2 linked regions of the Danio rerio genome follow. The protein of the gene in region 1 binds, or shares a complex with, the protein of each later gene. Links are inferred from orthologs where the notes say so. Each region holds a gene or a part of one and is shown on either strand. Other genes may lie near its edges. The genes, in order: zc3h13 and mettl14.

Evidence for each region.
Region 2: zc3h13 (region 1) and mettl14 share a complex: the UniProt entries of both Homo sapiens proteins name them as parts of the WMM complex. The link is inferred for Danio rerio from reciprocal best matches to the Homo sapiens genes ZC3H13 and METTL14.

What each region holds. Positions count from the first base shown.
Region 1 is NC_133176.1:33,353,836-33,358,024, forward strand, and holds the start of zc3h13 (zinc finger CCCH domain-containing protein 13), read left to right. Parts: upstream 1-1,389; 5' UTR 1,390-1,528; intron 1,529-4,029; 5' UTR 4,030-4,038; coding exon 4,039-4,176; intron 4,177-4,189. UniProt on the Homo sapiens protein: Associated component of the WMM complex, a complex that mediates N6-methyladenosine (m6A) methylation of RNAs, a modification that plays a role in the efficiency of mRNA splicing and RNA processing.
Region 2 is NC_133176.1:21,570,182-21,575,024, forward strand, and holds the start of mettl14 (N(6)-adenosine-methyltransferase non-catalytic subunit METTL14), read right to left. Parts: upstream 3,040-4,843; 5' UTR 2,948-3,039; coding exon 2,882-2,947; intron 2,741-2,881; coding exon 2,652-2,740; intron 2,450-2,651; coding exon 2,362-2,449; intron 2,257-2,361; coding exon 2,179-2,256; intron 1,596-2,178; coding exon 1,508-1,595; intron 1,430-1,507; coding exon 1,339-1,429; intron 1,050-1,338; coding exon 908-1,049; intron 401-907; coding exon 308-400; intron 119-307; coding exon 2-118; intron 1-1. Other genes in the region: prss12 (neurotrypsin), read left to right, coding at 4,425-4,740. UniProt on the Homo sapiens protein: The METTL3-METTL14 heterodimer forms a N6-methyltransferase complex that methylates adenosine residues at the N(6) position of some mRNAs and regulates the circadian clock, differentiation of embryonic stem cells and cortical neurogenesis.

The sequences.
Region 1 (4,189 bases):
TTGATAATTAATACTTTATAGTCTACTCATTTTTGATGTAACCAAGATAGTACAAAAAAGAAGAGAGTCATGTATTGTAAAGCAAATATGTCTAAAAATTTATATAGAACATCACAACCATGGTTTCTGCAGGTGTCAGTCACTATTTCAAATGTATGACTTTTTAAGTCTTTTTTAAAACCATTGTGAAATAAATGTCAGTCTTATACAGGACTACATGCTAAGAATGGTTAAATTTTATTCATTTAATTTAATTTAATAACATACAATTCAATATTAACCTCACCTCAATGAGCCTTGTGGACCTGTATTTTCAGCATAAGTCTATTGGTTTAATTTTGGAGATCATCCTCAATGTTCAGTTGTGGCCTGTATTTATTTTCAATGTATTTGATTACCATAAAGAAGTCAGAAAATTTAACCTGGTGCTATAAAATCAGTCTGTGTTGTCAATCTACATACATACAAATCGAATACACGATCCTATAAAAAATTAAAGGCAGAGGTCTTTTTATTTGCATGTTGTTGCTTTTTATGTAACTATAAACTACTATTTTTATTTACTGCGGGTTATGGATAAAATATTAATTAATTAATACTATAAGATTACTTAATACTGTGTTTAATAATAAACACATTAATAATAAAATAATACTGCGTTTTAGTGATTTTTTTTTTGTTGCTGGATTAACTAGTCAGATGTCATCATAACCACACTTTAATTGTGTACTAAAAATATTTCCTAAAAAATGTAAAAATAAATAAACAAGACAAATTTTTAAAACACAAATTTATGACATCATATATCAATATGAAAAATAGCAATCTGTTAAAGGTTTAAAGTAAAAAAAAACAAAAAAAAACTGTAGCCTACTGTCATTTATTAGACAAAAAACAAACTGGCCAGCACATGCAACTGTCCTTAGTCACAATTTGGCCTTTAAAAAAAATATGATAATTAAAACATAATAATAATAATAATAATATATAATATATATATATATATATATATATATATATATATATATATATATATATATATATATATATATATATATATATATATATATATATATATATATATATATATATATATATATAATGTGAAATGCTGCCTCTACTGGCCTCAACTCATCATAATGCGTGTCCGCATTGTTGTTTGTAACTTTATAGGTGGCTTAAACTCTTTAAATTCTTTGTTTTTTTATTTTAGAATTAAATGAACATACTTTTATCATTAAAACACAACAGGAAATAATGTCCATGTAGCCTGTGTGTGCGTTTATGTGTTCTGTCTCCAAATAACTATTTTACATTCAGGCAAACCAATTCTTCGGATTAGACCTCCAGTTTCCCACAATCCACTTCTTTGTGCTTCAGGAAGCTGAATGTGTGCAGAGTTTGCGCTGTCTTGCCAGCATCATGACGGCGGCTAAGGGGAAGACCGCTTTGCAAGACTTTTGCATGTGATTAGGAGGTTATCCCCAATAGTCTGTGAAACTGGACTTGACGCATCAATCATATTCGGGTAAATTAGAATTTGTTTATGGAGCCATTAAAGGGTCCGTTTTAGCTGTATCGTTATATAGGCTTGTGTTAACAGTGTAGGCCGCGCTGCAGTCATGCAGTTGTATAGCTTCATTCTGCAAATGAATGACCGCTTAAAACGCGCACATATATTAACTATCTTTTTTGTGTGTTTGTGTTAAGCTTCGCATGGTGCATAAATAGTTATTGTCTCAATTACGATATCGTTGATGTGCGTTGGAGAGTGTCAAGCAGATACGACTAAATGTAGTACGTTACGTTACAGCCAGTGCTGTTGTTTACAGTGTTCGGGGCTCTGTAAAATAAATGGAACATTCATGGCTTTTTGCAAGCTACAAAAGCCACGAGAATTAAATAATTATAATGTTAATTTGTGTGGATGTAGTAAATTGCCCTGCATTGATGATCAGAGACAGAATCATCCTTCAAGCTAATGTTACAATCATCGCAAGCTGTTATTTGGAGACCACATTACATAATTAATTAGACATAACATTAAGTCATTATTAGCTAGAAACTAACCAAAATAATAAGCTAATTACACTAAACCCTAATAACAGCATGTGGATTTAGAACGATGAAAATATTTCAACTAAGTTATATGCAAACTGTTGAGTAAATAATAACCTTTTCTACATAATTGTTTATCATCTCATTATAAATTATTAAATATCTGTTATATATTTTGTTTTTAAACCAGTGTTTTGGCAATGTTTTAAAATCAGCTCACTTTTTTCCAAACAAGCAACCTATGTACAAGTATATATGTTGTTAATTGAGTTTGTCAGCCTGTAATTTATCATACTTTTCATTTTACTTGAAGGGTAGATTGTTAGCTGGCCTTTTCAGTCAGGATTAACTCGTTCAAAGTTTCTTGGGAAAAAAAATGTTCACACCAGAAGTGCCTGGTTTGATTTTAATTCTTGGAAGGCTAAATTCTAGCACAGATGTGATTACAAGTGTATGTTAATTGAGCAAATATATGCCACATGATATGCCATATACAATATATGCCATATTTTCTGGTTGTGTATTCTATTTATTAAGTAAATTCAACACTGCAGATTAACAAAGAGATTTTTATTGGCATTTTAGTAGTTTGAGAAAATAAATTGTTTAAGAAATAATACAGAGATATTTAAATCTTTAAAATAACATAATAGGTACAGGTGGTTTATTACCAGGTTTTTGTACCATGATTTAATACACAAACACAGACACAAATATATCACTAGTAAAATTGTCCACAATTTTAACTATGAAAATGTCAACAAAAGTCACTTCAAACTTTTCAACATCAAAAGCTTTTGGAGGAAAGTTCCAACAAGCATAAATGAAAAGAACATAATTCTGAATTCTGAATGATCTGTTTTAGTATTTTAATGTGTTAGAAGACATACTCATTGTCAGTGGCATAGTGTATTTTCTTAGTCTTGCTGATTTGACAAAGTTTTGTATAGTGCTTTCCCTAATCATTTTTATTCTACAGCAGTTTTACGGAAGGTTAAAGGGGTGATTCACTACAATATCATTTTTTGAACTTTAGTTGGTGTGCAATGTAGCTGTGTGAACATAAACAACATCTCTGAATGTAAAAAGCTCAAAGTTCAATGCAAAGGGAGACCTTGGTTTTTACAGAGTTAGCTTAGCAAAGCCTACAAGGAACAAATTTTGGGGACTACAAAAAATACTTCCGGCCCTTGTGAGATCACAAAGGTACTTTTACCGCGCACACACACTGCTGTGTTTTTATTTTTTAAAATTGATCATGACATGTACAGTGTCTAGCGTTAACAGTATGCTTTAGTAGCAATGTAAACAATGGGAAGTGCTGTTTTGCACCGCAAACGATTTAGCTACATATTCATATTTATCAGTCAAACTGATGTAAACACACACACACACACACACACACACTTCACCAGCACGTGCAGCGTCTCTTTATGTGTGTGCTCAACTTTGCATTGATTCTCTTAAGACAGCTTTTCCATGCGTTTAACATCTCAGATCATGGACTCGCAAAAGATATGTGGATGATTCATGTTACTTACACAGGCATATTCCGGATATATGTGAAAGACGCAGTGTAACGCGTTGAGTGAAAAAAATACAGGATAGCTCATCTAACTCGTGTAGCAGCAAAAAAAAAAAAGATTTATGAAAAAATAGCATGATTTCCTTCAAGTGAAACATGAGCACACATTGCTTTGCATCTTAGAAACACAACCAAGCCTTAAAATTACATTCTGTTAACCTGCAATTGTATAATATATGGTGTATATAAGGTTGTTTATATATGTATAAATGTTGGAGTTGGCATCAACTCCCTTTAAGGTTAGGTTATCATTAAAAAAAAAAAAGCTAAATTTAACCACAATTTAACCACAATTTATATATATAAATGTAAAGTTTTATGGCTCTGGGATCTTGACTGTAACACAGCTTTGTAATTGAAGTGATTTCTATTTATTTTTAATTCAGCCCTGCAGAATGTCCAAGATCAGGCGGAAGGTTACAGTGGAGAATTCGAAGACCATATCGGACAGCAGCAGTAGCACGACCACCCCCTCCCGCAGGCCCAGTGTGTTTGAGAGACTCGGGCCCAGCACGGCCAGTAATGCAGCAGAGGTACGGATTCTGG
Region 2 (4,843 bases), about 12 Mb from region 1:
CCTTAGTTCTCTGGAACACTGCTTTAGGGTCCAGTGTTTTGGTTTTGCCAGGGTTGTTTTTGTTGGTCTTGATCCAACATATGTCCTCACATCGCCTGAAGCCCCATTTTCTCAGACACTGAGAGAGAAAGAAGAATGAAAGATGTTTAAATATGTTTGAATAAAGAATATTTGGCAATGATGTAAAAGCAGCATATTTGTATGTGGGCAGGTTATTATGTGTACATCATATTTGAGATAAGTTTAGGTTTATGCACATGGAACAGAAATCTGCCATGTCAAGTTTGTATATTTGTGAGATTTGTACCATTCGGCCAAGATCAAGGCCTTCTCCTGAGCCACACCACAAGAATACAAAAGAGCGAATGGATGAGATTTCCTCTATGTTCAGCTTCATGATCTAAAGCACACATGAATACAAAAATAAGTTATTATATATGTTAGGACATCTTACATTATTATATTATATGAGCATAAAATATATAATAACTGTTATCTAAATGGATAGTTCATCTAAAAATGAAAATTCTCACCATTTAGTCAGACTCAAATGGTTGTAAATTGTTATCAATGTCTTTCTTCTGTTGAACATAAAACTAGATAATCTGAAGAATGTTGGAAAATGCAGCCACTTACATCCATATTAGGAACAACAAAAACAACTAAAACAAACAAACAAAAAAACTATGAAAGTCAACGGCTGTTTTCCCCCAGCATTCCTCACTATATCTGCTTTTGTGTTTAACAGAAGAAATGAACTCAAACAGCTTTGGGACAAGTGGGGATGATAGAATTTTCATTTTTGAGTGTAGTCAAGTATATCTCTAATGTGTATTATAATACATAATTGAAATCAATTTTAAAAACATTCTCATGAGGTTGATTTTGAGAATTTGCAGTAACTCACATCGTCCCAGTTCCAAAAGCGCTCATTGGCAATGATGCCTGACTCTCTGTAATATTCCTCTAATGGAGGCTCTATCAGAATCACATCAAACTTGCACTTCAACTCTCTCAGATCAAACGTGTCTGGATCTGCCTGGAGATACCTGAAACGCACACAAACGCAAGAGTTATTACATTCATAAAAGCATTGAAAAAGACCCAATTGTCCCATAGTTAAATGCTTCTAATTATTATAAAAAATAACTGATTTTATTTGCTTAGCAACCTCAAAATCACTTTTGTTTTTAGTACGTTCAAATAAAATTCTAGAATCTAAATAAAACCCAGTGTTTTATACACAAATGTGAATAATTTTCAGGTTTCAAAAACTGCAAATGGGCACCACTGGCCGGTATGGGCCCTATGACATAGACTGAGACCAAGTTTTCTTACATGGGGGGAGTGTTGGTGGCAGAGATGAGTTCATCTTTCAGTCGAATGAGCTCTCTTTGTTTGGGGTATTCCTCAAACCTGTCAGCCAAACCTACAGCACATGAGAACACACAGGTTAACACACTCTCAAAGTGGAAAACTAAAAAGAAAAAGTAGAAAAACACTTTACCTCCATCTCGGATAAAGTTCTGAGGTCTATGACCTGTGTCCACAAAGTGCTGGCAATAATCATTGTGAGGATTTAAACTCTGAGTGCCCTGTGAAACAAGTAATGATATAATAAAAACATTACTTATGTTATTTTAGTAATATTTAGAGTGACTTTGCATAGACATAAACTATGCAACTGAAAAAGGAACCAGAAGAAATAAATCCCCTATGACATCTTATACTGATACATAATACAAAGGAATACAAAGGAAAGAATGCAGAAAGCAGAAAAAGCCAACAGGTAAATGAGACTATCTCTAGCTTTCTGTATGTATATACTGTATGTAACACTTGTTTCCCAAAAAAGCTCCAATAACTAAAACTGTTCCTAGTCCTTGCATTACAAACATGTCAAAAGCGAGAATTTCCTACATTAGTTCTAAGAACTATGAAACATACCTTAATTGCAAAACCCAATGCAGTTTACGTTTACTGTAAGGGACAGTTTTTCTGATGGAATGAAAGAATTTAAAGATCGTACTTTTCAAAAATTACCATGTTTTTGCCTTTAATGACAGTATATAGTGGTAACCGTTTTGTGAATATATGTCTGAGTATCCTCACAAAAATATCATAGCTTCTCATACCCGATTGCTCAATTAAATCATATACAATTGTGTTTAAAGATACCTTTAGAAATGTGCTGGAGTCCTTGTACACCTCTTCATATGGTCCACTCTCTTCCTGATGTTGAGGCTCAACATCTTCCTACACCATACAGCAGATTCAAAATCAGTTACACATAGCTCTGACCTGATCAAATGTAAGGGCTTTTCTGAATTAACAGCCGATTCCTGATCAGCGCTCTCTCACCTTTTGCTCTTCCACATCTTCCTCTGGATCTTCACCCTCATTCAGACACTTCCTTTTAGCACCAGGAACTGATATGTCAAATGATGCCCTACAGTAAACAAACCAAATGGTAACTGACCTCAGCATCGTTCTGATTAATACTAACTTACAAGTAGCAGCATCACATACCCGTGCTGAATGTAAAGGTTGTCCTATCAGTACAGTTTTAGCTCTTTTGGGGTATATAGGTCTTAGTGTTCTTTATTTTTTAGTGCTGCACATAGTCCTTGAATTTAACAAATGGTTTATACCTGCAGGTCTCTCTAGTCTCTTCAATCTCTTTTTGTTCATCTTTACTGTTGAGAACTGCGCCGATGCTGTCGGGACTCTCTGCTCCGAGCTGTAAAACAAATCATTAATGTCATAAAACATTCGCAATGCTTCTACGTTCATTGGCGTTAGTAATATAACACCGCGTTAATATGGCAGTGTTTGCTAAAACTGGCTTTCTGCAGGAAGAAATAAAGTTGTGTATTCGTACCTGTTGTGCGAGAAGCTGACGTCTGAGCTTCTGCCTTTCCCGTATTTCTTGCAAGCGGCTGTTCATGTCGAAAATGTTTTGCAGGAAAATAGCTAATCGTGAAATGATCAGATGACAACAATAGTGCGGCAAAAATCCATTGAAACCCTCAACGTGAGAAACCGTCGCATGTATTTTACATCATCACAATGCTTGACGCATACGGTGACGTCAGTAGACGGCCTCTTACTTTTATTTGGAGTAAAAACAACTAGCGTAAACAAAATGTAATAATGATTATCTTTGAATGATTTGACTGTCAGTGTTCCTTCAGCCATTAGTTTTTGGAGATCACAATTTCAAGACGTAAACTCGAACCAGACTTTTAAGATCTCCAGACGTTTTTGTATAACTGAAAAATTAGAGAGGTAACTTAATATTTAAAATTGTTAATCGTTTTTATCATGTAAAACAGGTAATTGCACAATTTTGTAAAGGTGTTGACTTAAAATGTGTTTTCTGTAACGATTAAGAAGAGAGTATTGTTCATTTATTTTGATTGTATTTATACACTATTGTTTTGGTGTGATCTTTTTTTTTTTTGCGGAGTACGAGTATTGCATTGGAATTAAAAGAAATGATGTTTATTATGAGAATACAGCCGGCTTCAAAATTTGGTATAGTGTTTGCTCATTATATGTGGAATTTGTTTTATTCGTAAATGTAAATGGGCTGTGAAAAAAACCTAATTTTACTCATTTTAAAATAGAAATAGATCATGTACGATATAAAAACAAAAAATACTAAAACAAAAAGCAATGTTAATTATTTTAAAGCCTTAAATTTAGACTTTGAATAATTGTATTTTTTCTTTTCTTTTAATATTGTATTTGTTTTGATCTATCCTTGCTGACTGAAAGTAACTGAAACCGATTTTAAAAATATATTTTTAAATTAGCTATTATTCTATAATTAATAATGTTTATAATTTCATAAATGAAAAGCATTGATTCTGGTTGCATTTTACTGACACAAGAGGGCAGAAGTGAACTTTTGGCTGTTTGTCATTGTGATTAGTTCTGAAAGCTTGAGCCGAAATTTGTACACCGTGTTGTCTCGGAGAGACCAACAGTGATGACCAGACCAGACTAGACGCCAAATTACTGATATAACGTGGCAGACTCTCGTTTAAGTTCACTCTGTGGGAAGATCGGCGCGCGCAGCTCGGGCGCTATCGTGGAATGATTTATTTAGCAATTACTATTTGCCTCGTAGATTCTTTTTCTATTGTTCTGCAACTTGTCACTATTAAATGAAGGACACTATTGATTTTTACCATCAACTGTTCTCTTTTTAAACTTGAAATCCAGACTGGGCGACGATCATCAATATGCATGAGTCATAAGCTCCGGGCTTCCCCGGTTTCTCTTTTATTGATCCGCGTCTGCTGCTCTGATAACAGCCAAACGACAAGATGAGAAAACTCGGGTACCATGTCTTATCCACGCAGACTGGAGAGTAATTGTCGGGTGTTAGGGTGACAGTCACGGACAGGTTGATCGTGATGGATGTGAGGTGTCGGTTCGTCTTTACGGTCTGCGCGCTTCTGCTTATGATCGCGCGCACTGGCGGCTCTCCGTTCACTGACTGTGTTCAGAGCAAAGGGAAAGCGGGCTTTTACGAGGGGTCCATTGACGCAACCGAATCAGGCGTGAAGTGCATGAACTGGAGCGATGTGCCCGGTGTTAGAGAGCGGTATCAAGGTAAAGGGCTCGGAGATCACACTTTCTGCCGAAATCCGGACGGGAGAATTCGGCCCTGGTGCTTCTTCACGAACAACAGAGGACGCATTGACTGGGGATACTGCGACTGCAAGCAGGGTATGTATGTATACAAAGAAAGTATCTAATTTTCAACAGTATTAGTTTATGCGAAAGAAATTTACCGCACTTCAAGTGTGTTTAATTGTTTTTACAAGACCTT